Linked DNA regions of Mus musculus: all the other regions are reported to be linked to region 1. Evidence: microRNA targets listed by miRTarBase, many of them from high-throughput screens and not tested one by one. Region 1 holds a microRNA gene; each other region holds the end of a gene's coding sequence.
Evidence for each region. The annotated mature microRNA mmu-miR-466f-3p reads CAUACACACACACAUACACAC and lies in region 1 at 1,002-1,022, shown strand. An mRNA with a match to its seed (bases 2 to 7 or 8) in the 3' UTR can be bound and repressed. Matches are read on the target gene's strand: a 7mer-m8 pairs with bases 2 to 8, a 7mer-A1 pairs with bases 2 to 7 and ends in A, and an 8mer does both.

Region 2: the mRNA of Fam189a1 is a reported target of mmu-miR-466f-3p. The part of its 3' UTR that is shown has no 7-base or 8-base seed match.
Region 3: miRTarBase lists Piga as a target of mmu-miR-466f-3p. Seed matches in the 3' UTR shown: 7mer-m8 at 1,219-1,225 and 7mer-m8 at 1,463-1,469.
Region 4: miRTarBase lists Igsf9 as a target of mmu-miR-466f-3p. The part of its 3' UTR that is shown has no 7-base or 8-base seed match.

The regions. Positions count from the first base shown.
Region 1 is chr2:10,471,006-10,474,136 of GRCm38, forward strand. It overlaps Mir466f-3 (microRNA 466f-3), which reads left to right and starts at 948; the gene lies at 948-1,041. All of the region lies in intron 10 of Sfmbt2 (Scm-like with four mbt domains 2), which reads left to right. It overlaps Mir669d-2 (microRNA 669d-2), which reads left to right and starts at 639; the gene lies at 639-724. Mir297a-2 (microRNA 297a-2) reads left to right here and starts at 1,249; the gene lies at 1,249-1,338. It also overlaps Mir466o and Mir467c.
Region 2 is chr7:64,756,590-64,759,720 of GRCm38, reverse strand. It overlaps Fam189a1 (family with sequence similarity 189, member A1), which reads left to right. Exons shown (of 10, transcript NM_183087.4): 10 at 308-3,131. The coding sequence ends at 624. Among named protein-coding and RNA genes, the nearest start is that of Nsmce3, 110 kb to the left of the region's middle.
Region 3 is chrX:164,431,232-164,434,362 of GRCm38, forward strand. It overlaps Piga (phosphatidylinositol glycan anchor biosynthesis, class A), which reads left to right. Exons shown (of 6, transcript NM_011081.3): 6 at 399-2,684. The coding sequence ends at 665. Among named protein-coding and RNA genes, the nearest start is that of Asb11, 4.2 kb to the right of the region's middle.
Region 4 is chr1:172,498,267-172,501,397 of GRCm38, forward strand. Igsf9 (immunoglobulin superfamily, member 9) reads left to right here. Exons shown (of 21, transcript NM_001145800.1): 21 at 91-611. The coding sequence ends at 272. It overlaps Tagln2 (transgelin 2), which reads left to right and starts at 1,980. Exons shown (of 5, transcript NM_178598.2): 1 at 1,980-2,066.

The sequences.
Region 1 (3,131 bases):
AGGATCTGGAGTTCAAATTCATGTTTAACTTCATGATGAGTTAGAGTTCATCATGCGATTCATGTGATGCCCAACAAGAATGTGCATGTGTGTATAGCTGTGTGCATATTCACTTCTCTATATGAATATGCACATACACGCAAGCACACACAGGAATGGCACTCATATATCCTTTTGAATGGTATGTGACTTAGAACTTTAGAGCTTATGCAGTACTGATCAAGAGCTATGTCTCAGTTAGGAGGTTAAGTACTCTTGCCAGAGTCAGGAGGATGAGGAGTTCAAATTCATATTAAATTCATGATGAGGTAGCAATCAGTCTGGGATTCATGTGATGTCCCCCGTTTATGTGCATGTGTGCAGAAGTGTATGCATGTACATGTGTTTATGTGAATATACATATACATACACACATATACACACACATGCAAACATACATGTAGGAATGGTACTCATCGATGCATTTTAATGATATGTGACTTAGACCTTTGGAGATTATGTATGACAGGGCCAGTGTCAATTCTCACACACCTGGTGAAAACCCTTGTTAGAGTCAGGAGGTATAGGAGTTGAAAATCATGCTTAACTTCATGAGGAGTAAGAGATCATCCTGGATTCATGTGATGCCCCCTATATATGTGCATGTGTGTATACTTGTGTGTGCATGTATATGTGTCTATATGAATATACATATACATACACACCCATATACACACGCATGCACGGAAACACAAAAACATAAACATAAACACAGGAATGGCACTCATTGATCCATTTGAATGATATGTGACTTAGAGTCTTATAGATTATGCAGTAGTGTGTCAATGAACGGTCTCACTCACCAGGTGAAAGTTGTTGACAGAGTCAGGAGGATCAGGAGTTCATATTCATGCTCAATTTCAGTTAGTGATCATCCAGACATTCATGTTATGCCCCTCATGTATGTGCATGTGTGTTTACGTGTGTGTGCATGTGCATGTGTGTATATGAATATATGTATACATACACACACACATACACACGCACGCAACACACACACACACACACACACACGACACTCATTTATTCATTTGAATGATATGTGACTTAGAGTTTTAGAGATTATGTAGTACTGGGCCAGTGAGTGCTCTCACTCACAAGGTGGAAATCTTGCCAGAGTCAGGAGGATCAGGAGTCGAAATTCATTCTCAACTTCATGTTGAGTCCGGGATCAGCTTCTGATTCATGTGATGCCCCCAGTGTATGTGCCTGTGTGTATATGTATGTGTGCATGTGCATGTGTGTATATGAGTATACATATACATACGCACATACCCATACAAGCATGCACACAAACCCAAAACTGCCACTCATCGATCTATTTGAATGATATGTGTCTTAGAGTCTTAGAGATTCTGTATGACTGGGCCAGGGAGAGGATTCACTCACCAAGTAAAGACCCTTGCCAGAGTCAAGATAATCAGGAGTTCAAGGTCATGGTAAAGGCATGATGAGTTAGAGGTCATCCTGGCATTCATGTGATTGCCCCTATGTATGTGTGTATGTGTTGATGTGTGTGTACATGTACATGTGTGAATATGATATACATACATGCACACATAAGACACATATGAGCACATAGACACACAGGAATGGCACTCACTCATCAATCTATGTGACTGAGAGCTTTGGAGATTATGTGTGACTAGGTCAGGGAGAGTTATCACCCATCATATTAAAAATGCTTGTTAGAATCAGGAGGTCAGGAGGTCAAATTCATGCTTTATTTCATGATGACTTAGAAATCTGCCTGGGATTCATGTGATGCCCCCATGTATGTGTACATGCGTGTACCTGTGTGTGGATTGTGTATATGAATATACATATCTACACACGCATAGACATGTACACAGACACACAAACATGAATGCAACTCATCGATCCATTTGAATGACGTGTGACTAAGAGTTTTAAGATTCTGCAGTACTGAATAGGGAGAGGTCTCACTCAGCAGGTGAAATCCCTTGCCAGAGTCAGGTGGTCCTGGAGTACAAATTCATGTTTAACTTCATGATGAGTTAGAGTTCAGCATGCGACTCATGTGATGTCCATCAAGAATGTGCATGTGTGTATAGTTGTGTGCATATTCACTTCTCTATATGAATATGCATATACACGCATGCACGCACAGGAATGCCACTCATATATCCTTTTGAATGGTATGTGACTTAGAGCTTTAGAGCTTATGCAGTACTGGGCCAGAGCTATGGCTCAGTTAGGAGGTGAGTACTCTTGCCAGAGTCAGGAGGATGAGGAGTTCAAAATCATATTTAATTCATGATGAGTAGAGATCAGCATGCGATTCATGTGATGCCCTCCAAGAATGTGCATGTGTGTATAGCTGTGTGCATATTCACTTCTCTACATGAATATGCACATAGCTGTATGCACACATACTCACAGGAATGGCCAGAACTATGTCTCAGTTAGGAGGTGAATATTGTTGCCAGAGGGAGGAGAATATGGAGTTCAAATTCATGTTTAACTTCATGATGAGTTAGAGAACAGCCTGGAATTTCTGTGATTGTCCCCGTGTATGTGTATATGTGTATAGGTACGTGTGCATGTAAATGTGGGTATATGAACATGCATATATATATATATATATATATGTGTATATATATATATATATATACATACATACATACACATATACACACACATATGGACACATACATGTGCACACAAACACACATGGTAGTCATCCATTTGATTTATGCATGCTTAGAGTTTCATTGAGTGTATATTCATGGGATAGCAAAACATCTCACTTACCAGATGAAAACTGCTTGCCAGAGTTAGGAGTCTCAGGAGTGCAAATTCATGCTTAACTTCATGAGCAGTTAGAGATCATCCTGGAATAATGTGATGGCCCCTATGCATGTGCCTTTGTGCATAAGTGCGTGCATGTATATGTGTGTATATTTTATGCATATACATACACACACCTATACACACATGCACACAGACATGCGAGAATGGCCCTCACGGATCCATTTGAATGATATGTGACCTACTGCTTTGGAGGTTATGTATGACTGGGCCAGGGTGAGGTCTCACAAACCACGGGAAAACCCTTGGTAGAGTCGGGA
Region 2 (3,131 bases), not on the chromosome of region 1:
AAGCCACCAGACCACAAAGGATGGAGGTCATAGAGTTGGAGAAGGCTGCGAAGAGAGCTCAGGGTCCCCCACTAGTCCTTCTCATAGGCCCACCACTCATCTCACCTCACTTCAACCCTTTGAAGTCAACAGGAAATTCACGCCAGGCTGACAGGAAATTAAGTGACCCAGGGAACGGGGTCACACGCAGTGGTAGCAACTCTCCCCTGGTACACTTGTGTTTGTTTGTTTGTTTTTTTTTCCTGGAACTTCGGTTTCATTAAGTTCACGGTTGTATTCAGATTGCCTCTTTCACTTTGATTTCTAGTCTCCACATCACAGCCAGCCATGGCTGCCTGTCAGCACCAGCACTCATCCACTGGTGACCCAGATACCTGGAAAACGGGCCAAGGGACCAAGCCAGAGACCTTACAGACCGTCTCCAAAGAGCGGCCACACTCTTTAGTGGAGAGCAAGGCCTATGCAGACACCAGGGTTCTGGTGGCTAAGTTTTTGGAACACGCACACTGCAGCCTCCCTACAGAGGTGCGACATGTGGTGGGCACCATACGATCAATGGCCACCTCGGAGGAGCCCAGGGTGGAGGAGGCCATCTTTGGTGCTGGCGTCTTGGACCAGCTGTGAAGCTGCTATGGGCCTGGATGTGGACACTGATAAGCCTGCAAAGTCTGGCCCTGCAAGATGCCACCGTGCTTGGTAGAGAAAGGCCTTTGGCCTGCTGGGTCAAGAACATCCAGGATATCCAGGAAGCTCGCTGGTGGCTTGGGCAAGGAACTGTTACTCTTTCTCCCATCAGTTGTCTTCCTGGGGACTGTTTGTCGCCTGTCCCACTAACTCAGAGATGTTTCTCTCCTGCCCTTAGTGAGCTCTGGTCGCTTCAGGGGTATAGCACCTCTTGAACTGAAGAATGTGATGGGAATACCAATTCTGGGACAGGGGACACTTTTGGAACATAAAGACACTGCATCTGTCCCAAGTCAAGGCCTTTAACACTCGATGCTCCTCTGTGCCTGGTTTGGTTCAGTGTTAAGATTAGAGAGTAGCAGTGGCAATGGAGTCGTGTGGCTGGTATCACTCTGCAATGACACCTTTATCAGATTCCGACCCATTACTTCCTCTCAAAGGCAATAGGTCATGCTAGCACAGCCTGGGACCACCTTCTTGCCCACTGGGCTATCATGCAAATAAATCCACAATGAAAGCTTTCCTACATACTCTTGGGAAGCAAGCACGTGTCACAAGGGCTTGAAATGCCCACCTTCTCGTGTGTACTGGGCCTCCCCATTAGGCCTCTGTCTGTGGGCTGCTACCCACCTCCTCCCTAGGTCCCTCCCACACAGTCTCCCATCCTTGAACCACAGCAAATACTTGTTACTTGTGTTTTAACAATAAGCTCCCTTCTCTTCCCTTGGAGGACTTCCCCTTGTATCTGACCTCACCTAATTGTGCTGGGTAGGTCACAGTCTGGGCTAGGAAGCTACTGTCTGCTATATGTGCACCTCCGGCTTAGGCAAGCCTCTCTCATGACCCAGAGTTGTCCCTTCTCAACTCAGGTGGCAGCAGGCACACTTGTGTTGAAGGATGCAAATGGTCAATGCCTTATTTCGGGGAGAGTGCCAATGGTGGACATCCGGAAGCAAGGCAAACCCAGCTTAGGTATAACCAGGTGGCTTGGGGCAAAATGGCCACCTAAGACATTCTTGGCTGTTTCAGACCGCATTTTCTGGCAAGATCAACAGCAACCACTTCTCAGCAATGGGTCTGGAGCAGCACTGCTTGAAAGCACTTCCTGCAAAAGCCAGAAACGCCCACATCTGCTTCCCCCACAGCAGCAGGTATAATCAAGGGCAATCACTGCACCGCCATGGGCCTGTGAGCCTCAATATAGGCACAGAAGCCCTAAGTCTGTGGGTGGACCAGAGTGTTCCTTCCATTGTTCAGTGGCCAGCTGGTAGGCATAGGATACTCTTCTCTCCATCTTGCCTGCCCTTGCCTGTCCTTCATCCTCTACTACCCTGATTCAGCCCCCCCAAATTCCCTGTATCCACTAGGCTGAAGACCTCTGTGTGTTTGGAAGTTGTGGGACTTCAGCCCACACATGGCCTCGGAAAACCCCTAGCAGCCATCAGTTAGTTCTCCATGCCCTGATGGCTTTACCATTGCCATAAGCTGTTGCCTTTCTGAGGTTAGCAAGCTGGAAAATATAAATCGGGCATTTGACAGTAGTCTTGGCTTTTCCACAGGAGACATAATAGAGATGAATATTTGAGCACTTTATTCAGACTATAAAATTCTCTAATTTTCCCTCAAGTGAGGACTTTGAAAATCCCCCATGAGAAAATCCCTTTCAGTAGAGTGGCTTGCCCCAAGCTTCATAGCACGAAGTACTTTCACGCCTGGCTGCTGGGCTTTCTCACCACTTCAGAGATGAGGGGAAGGGAGGCAGCAAGAGGATGTCGCCTGATTGGAGGGACATGCAGCAGTGTGCTTAAACATTTGTGGATCTCAGAACAAGCCATGATCCAAGAGAAGCCAGGGCCGACCCCATTCCAACTGACCCAAGCTTGGAGGTATTTTCATAGTGTGGCCAGGGTGACCAGTTTCTGGATTCAGCACAGGGCACTGTGGCTTTCATGCTGCCTCTTTACAGATGGCCTTCAACTATCATGGGGCACTCCTGCCTCAAGTCACACCTCTTTTCGGGTGCAGACTAACACTACCACCGGGAAGCCCCGAGTCCCAGACATTCTCAAGGAAGTGGTACACACAAACTATCCTAGCTAGGTTATGAGATGGCTCCCCTAACAGGCTTATAAGATGGATAAAGAAACTACAGCACTTCATGCTATTGGGTGGGTGTTTGATGACAGATATGTCTTTGTTTACCTTCTCTGGGCCCCAGATGGACCAAGAGGGCATTAAAAATGCCCAACCTCCAGGCTTCCAGGAAGCCAGAGGTACTGGTAACAGCCACTAGACAACAGTCTTGCAATTTGACTTGTCTGTTCTGGGTTCCTTAACCCTGCCTCAGTGGTGAGCTAGTGCTAAGAACCCCAGGCAGTTATGTGGGTCCCTTGCGGAAGCAAAGCCGTCTTTCTTCACATTGCCTGCACAACCTTCCATCTTGGAAG
Region 3 (3,131 bases), not on the chromosome of region 1:
TCTGTCTTCTTCCTGCTTCTCTATAGTGTCACCATCTATAAGCAGCCCAGTGTGGTGACTGTGTGTGCTGTCTACTAGGCATTTATGAGAGCTTTCTCCACCCAGTCAAGGCATTAGCCCAGCTTAGCAGTGTGCCTACTGAAAAAGCTTTCTGACCTTAGAGGACTTTGGTTTTCCAGTAGTCAGGTGACTATCACCTGTTCTATGGGTCACTCATTGTTCAGCCCAGAATTAAGTCAATGGTAAGCATTGTTCTAAATAACAGCAAACATGGGTGATTTGTCTCTACTCATGTTTGCCAGTTGCTCCCGGTCAGTGTGGGTCACGGGTCACCCTTTGTTACAGGCACATGGTGGCTTGGAGTGCTCACTCATTCATTGTCACCTTCTCTCTTGCAGGTGTATGAGCGAGTGTCGAAGGAAACTGTTTTGCCAATGCACAAGAGATTGGACAGGCTCATCTCACACTGTGGCCCTGTGACGGGCTACATGTTTGCTTTGCTGGCTGTGCTCAGCTATCTCTTCCTCATTTTCCTGCAGTGGATGACTCCAGACTCTTTCATTGATGTTGCAATAGATGCTACTGGGCCAAGGAGAGCCTGGACTCATCAATGGCCTCGTGATAAGAAAAGAGATGAGAATGATAAGATATCCCAAAGCAGGTAGAAGCAAGCCCAAGTTAACAAGTCCTATTAGATACTTGCAATAGTCCTGTTAGCATTTGAAAGGAGTTTTGCTCCTGTGTTGGGCTTTAGAGTTGGATTTGCTACCTCTGTATGGTTCACTTTTGTTGTTGCAAAAAGATAAACACTTATGCAATTCCTGAGTGTGGGAACTCCTTGCACTTCTTTAAAATTTAGGGGATAATGGTTTAGCCACTCAGGTAGGACAGTTTTCAGATTACTGAGACCCCCCTAAGCAGAGATGTTTTAACATTATATTTTGGGAGCCTTGGGTGCTGAAAGGCCAAATGTTTCTGGATTGTTTTTGGCCAATTTTTCACATTATACCATTAATCCACATTCACCAGATGTTTACATGCTTTCTTTAGGGAGGTACAACAGTTATGTGAACTGTTTTAAGGCAAGGTCATGTATCCTTCTCTGGGCATCATTGAAGTCATGTTCCTAGACACTTACTGGGTCCACTCAAGGGATACGTGGAATGTGATTTCTTGAGCAAGACCATCTATTGGTTGCCAGCATGTTTGAACACCTGCTGTGTATGAAAAGTTGACCTAGATGGTTCCTGAGACTAAGGACTGGTCAACGAGAAGTGGTAAAACTGTCAACATGGCGAAATGCTCAAGCTACTGAATGACAGGAGATCATCGCTGGCATACACCAAGTACCTTTCTGACCTGTTCTATGTATATGCATTCTCTTAGGAAGAGCCCTTCTCTCTCTCTCTCTCTCTCTCTCTCTCTCTCTCTCTGTATGTGTGTGTGTGTGTGTGTGCGTGTGTGTGTATGTGTGCACGCGTGCGTGTGTGTTGTTGCTTTTTATGTTCTATGGATTGACCGATACAACTGTTGATGCTTGTGCTGGCCAACCCTCTGCTTTTATAGTGCACAGTTCAGTCCCCCATAAATGCCTTTATGGTTTCTAAGCAGAACAGAAAAGGTGTGCTATCTCAAAACCAGCTGCTCTTCCTGCCCTCTGTGGAAGCCCCTTCCTGTCACTCTGGTCTTGCCCATCTCTGATAAGTATTGCCAGTGTGGGGAAAGGCTTTTCTCCAGAATGGTTTATTTAGAGCGTATTAATTCTGAAACTCGTCAGAGCTCGCAGGCTTTTTGTGGGTGGAATTTCTCAATCGTAATTAAGGTTTCCAGAGCCATGGGTTTTTAAATCCCAAACTGTATGTGATATGTATTATTAATCCTTTGAACTCTTTCGCATGGGTTTGTGTGGGGAACAGACTAAAATGAGAGCAGCGAGCCACTTGTGGGTGTTCCATTCTGTCAGTATTGTGATTCTGTACAGGAGTTTTTTTTAGCGACATTTGCAAAACTTTTAAAAGAGTATCTTAACATGCCTATTACTTGGTTGCCACCGATATAAAAGAGATATATTTGTGTTTGGTTTCTATGGAAACAAATGGTAGAGAGTAATTTTTAAAATATAGAAGTTAGGGCTTCTTTTATTGGAGAAAAATGACCTTGTCCAAACCGTTCAGTCTTATTTAAATCTTTATGCGCTGAGACAGGCGTACAGGTTAACAGTGCCAATATCCACGGTAGACTGAGGCATGTGTAACACTTGGCTGTATTTATTCTACTCTATTATTTCTTCTATGTTTGCTTCTAGCTTTTATTAAAATATCATTAAATGCTTCAGTTGTTCTTTATTTAAGATGAACATAGAATTGAAAATTAATTTGCTCTTGTGGGCAAATATGTAATTTATGAATTAAAATTGTTTTCCTTTTTTGAACAAGTAAAAATAAAATTTGTGTGACAGAAACCATTTTCAGGCTTCCTGGATACCTTAGTTGTCAGTGTTGTACTGGTCAGGATGTGGGACACTCTTCCACTGTGCTACTCATAATTATCTGAAATGAAATTAGCGTGGATGAGGAATCGTTGGAAAGATACTGTGTTGCTTTTGATGTCATACACATGAAACCAGTGTGCTAAAACATGCTCATGTCCAGTAATAAAGATGAGAACGCTGTTTTAATAGTCTTATTTTTGTCTCAGTTTGTCTTATTTTGTGGACAGGATGTTACTCGTGGAATAACCCCTCCTCCACCTTTGCTGAGTGGATCTAATGTGTTGCCTGGTCTATTAGTAAAAGAGGAAGTGTCCTTTGTCTAATGTACCACTCTGTCATCTTTTATTTCTAGAATATATGCTCTTTTGTATTCTTGAAATAGAAAGTTCAATTGCACCTTTGTCTCCTGATTCCAATAAGCCCTTGTTCCTCCCTGCCAGTCATCACAGAAGGCAAATGAATGCATCCACACACTATTGTGTGTGTGAACTACGTAATTACACTTTTTATGTTGCCAGCTGTCTTAAGAGATATTTGAGGTCTGGAGAGATGGCTCGATGGTTAAGAATACTGACTGTTCTTCCAGAGGTCTTCAGTTCAGTTCCCAGCAACCACATGGTGGCTCACAACCATCTGTAAT
Region 4 (3,131 bases), not on the chromosome of region 1:
ACGCAAAGGCCTTTTGGAGCCTCAGGACTCAGCCCTTCAGCCAGTGAGTCACGGCATCTCTTCTCACACAGTCCTGTCTTCCCCTTGAAGGTGTCAAGACTCCAGAGGAGAGCTGTCTCCTGAACCCAACCCATGCTGCCGGCCCCGAGGCCCGCTGTGCTGCCCTTCGGGAGGAATTCCTAGCTTTCCGCAGACGCAGGGATGCTACCAGGGCCCGGCTACCAGCCTATCAGCAGTCCATCTCTTACCCTGAACAGGCTACTCTGCTATGAGCCCGCTTAGTGTGAAACTAAGAAAGGCTTATATGGATTTGCAAAGGAGTCCAAGACTTTGGCTCCAAGCTGGGGCACTGCCCCTACCTCTCTGTGTCTCGGTGGCCTGGTGGTAGGCTTGAGTGAGCTTGGTATAGAGTTGGATGTACTGACTCTTTAATTAGTCTGGGAGCTGAACAGGAATGTGTGTGTGTGTGTGTGTGTGTGTGTGTGTGTGTGTGTGTGTGTGTGTGTGTGCGTGCGCGCGCGCAAGCGCGCGTTCGAAAGTGGTGTTTATGGTGTGGGTGCAGGTTTCTTTTTTTTAAAAAACAGGTGAATAATAAATGTCTGGAAACCGTTTCTCTGTCACCTCTCTTTGTGTTTAAGAGAGATGAGGAAGTCCCTGGATATGTACAGAGAGGGTTCTGAATGGGACACATTCAACAGTCATTCAAGAAAAAAGTTGTTGAGTGCCTAGTAGAGATCTGCTGTTAGGCCAGAAGCCATGAGAAAATAGAGAAATCACTGGGATAATGCCTTTGTCCTTGGGGAGTTCTCGCTAGTCACTGAGGCCAACTACGCACTGTGATAAAGCTGTAAGCTGGTTATCACATTGGCACAAAGAGTTCAGTTTGAGTCAATATTTAGTAAATACTTAAAACATGTGGGGATTCCTGGGACACTCACAGGAGACTGCTCAGAGTTCTTTCCATGTCCCGTCCACCGCCCGGAGTTTATTTTGTAGACTGGGCACGGCAACTAAAGCCAAAGGTGCTTTTGTAATTGACCAGAAGCCACACAAGCAGGTAACAGGCAGAGCAGGTGACGGGGCAGTGAAGGAAACCCACTTTCGGGCAGAGGAACACCCTAAAGGCACAGGGGACTGAAACTTGACATTCTGTGGGTCTGAGCGGGACTTTGGGGAATAGAGAAGTCAAAGGTCAGGGTGGAACTGGCTGCTGTTCTTTTAAATATCAGGCTCAACGGGGGACTCCATAACGTGAAGAAAGAAAAACACTGGTGGGTTTTAAATGGGGAACTCCGCTAACTACAGCCTGAAAAAGTAGGTGTTCTGGACACCCCTCAACTATTGCTCTTCACTCTTAAGGGGTAGAAAAGTGCCTGCCAACTTCCTCCACTAAGCCCCCGCCTCCAACCCTCCAAGATCTAAGAAGAAATGTCAATTTATTAAATGGGAGATGGAAGGGAGAGAGAGAACTGGGTCTGAATCCCAGGTCCCAAGCCCTACCACACCCTCAAGGCCCCGGGCAAGGAGTGACCTCACTGTTCTTTTTTTTTTTTTGCCCGGGCTTGAAGTTAAATGGCAAGCAGAACCACGTGGGGGTGCTGTCCCAGCCTGTAAGCACCAGACCTATTACTCCTTACTCTATCCTGTAGGAAGGCGCTTCCTGGACCTGAATTTACAAAAGGCCGGCCTTTTTGTAATAGTAGGCTTCTCATAGAAACAGGCCTGCGATCCTGAGCTAGCTAGTCTAGGCAGAAAGTTTCCTATTAGGATACAAGTCTATGGCTGGTGAATGCAGGTTGAGGATCCCCTGGGCGGAGACCTTTTGCAGCGGCGCCAAGGACTCCGCAGGTCCTTTACGGCTCATTCCTGCCTACTGACCACCTATCTTAAGCGCTCCAGCATTCCACGCGGCGGCGCCTTTAAACCCTCTTGGCCCTTGCCCCGCCCCTGGTCCGCCCCGTCTGAGGCGGGACCCCCCAGAAAACTCCAAGCCCGGCCGGGTCTTGAGCTCCACTCGCCGCTGCAGCCCCTGTCGTGCGTGCGCTCTCATCCAGCCCTCTTGGACGGTGAGCAGGACTGAGGGACCAAGGCAGCGGGGTGGGAGTTGGGGATTATGTGTGTGGTCTGTAGAAAGCAAGAAGCCAACACTTGAGACTTGCTTCTGGGAGCGTGGGGGTTGAAGACTGGCGGACGCTGGGGTCCCAACTGGGTGCCCCGCCCCGTGCTGTCAGGTCCGGTTCCCAAGCCTTCTCTGCATTGTTCAGCAGTTAAGCAAGGCAAGTTTTACGGGTGCACAAGACGGGGCGTCCGTCCCGACCCAAGAGGTCTGGTCCCAAGCCCCAGCCGTTTGCTCCAGCGTTGAGTTCTCTTTGGGGGGAGAAGGAAGGAGGGCGTCGGACGTCCGCAGGCTGCTGAGTGGCCGCAAGAACTAGGTTCTGGCGCGCGCTCCGGTCCATGAATTTACCGCGCGCCCCTTTCACTTCCTGGTCCAGGAGCACGTGTGGGTACTGCCTGCCTTCTGTGACCCCGAGACCGCCCTTTTGCCCCCCTCCTGCTAGTTCGTTTGTCCGGGTACTCGGGGTCACAGGTCTCCGGGAGTTATTTGCACAGTAGCCTGGTCTTCTGTGAAACCCCCTTCTTCTCCTGGAGCGCCTTTGACCTCGGACATCTCCGGGCTGCAGCCCTGACTGCACTCGGATGTGCCCTGTCTGTAGGGGTTGGCTGCTATCCAAACTCTCTTACCCTAGCCTGAGACCCGCTGCCCCCTCCCGTGCCCCCTGCTGCTGGGAAAGCCGGTGGTGGCCGCGGGCGGGCGGGCGGGCTGCCCAGACCTGCGTCACCCCAGTGGCGGGAGGGCGGTGGGTGACTCATCCACATTAACGGCCCAGGCAGGGTGTGGCCGTGGGGGTGGGGGGGACGGCCGAAGGGGCTGGACCGGAAGTAGATTACCTCCTTTTTGGGCTCTGCAGGCCTACCTGTGTTCCTATCCGAGAGGTTCTGGGATACGTGGTATCTGTGGAGCAAAAGCAGCGGTGATGGCAAGTGGAGGTGCGGTGTAGGAGACCAGTGGCTGGACGGGTCTCCTTGTTCCCTAGAGCAGTAGTCAGGGATAGCTCATCTCTAAGCTTCTC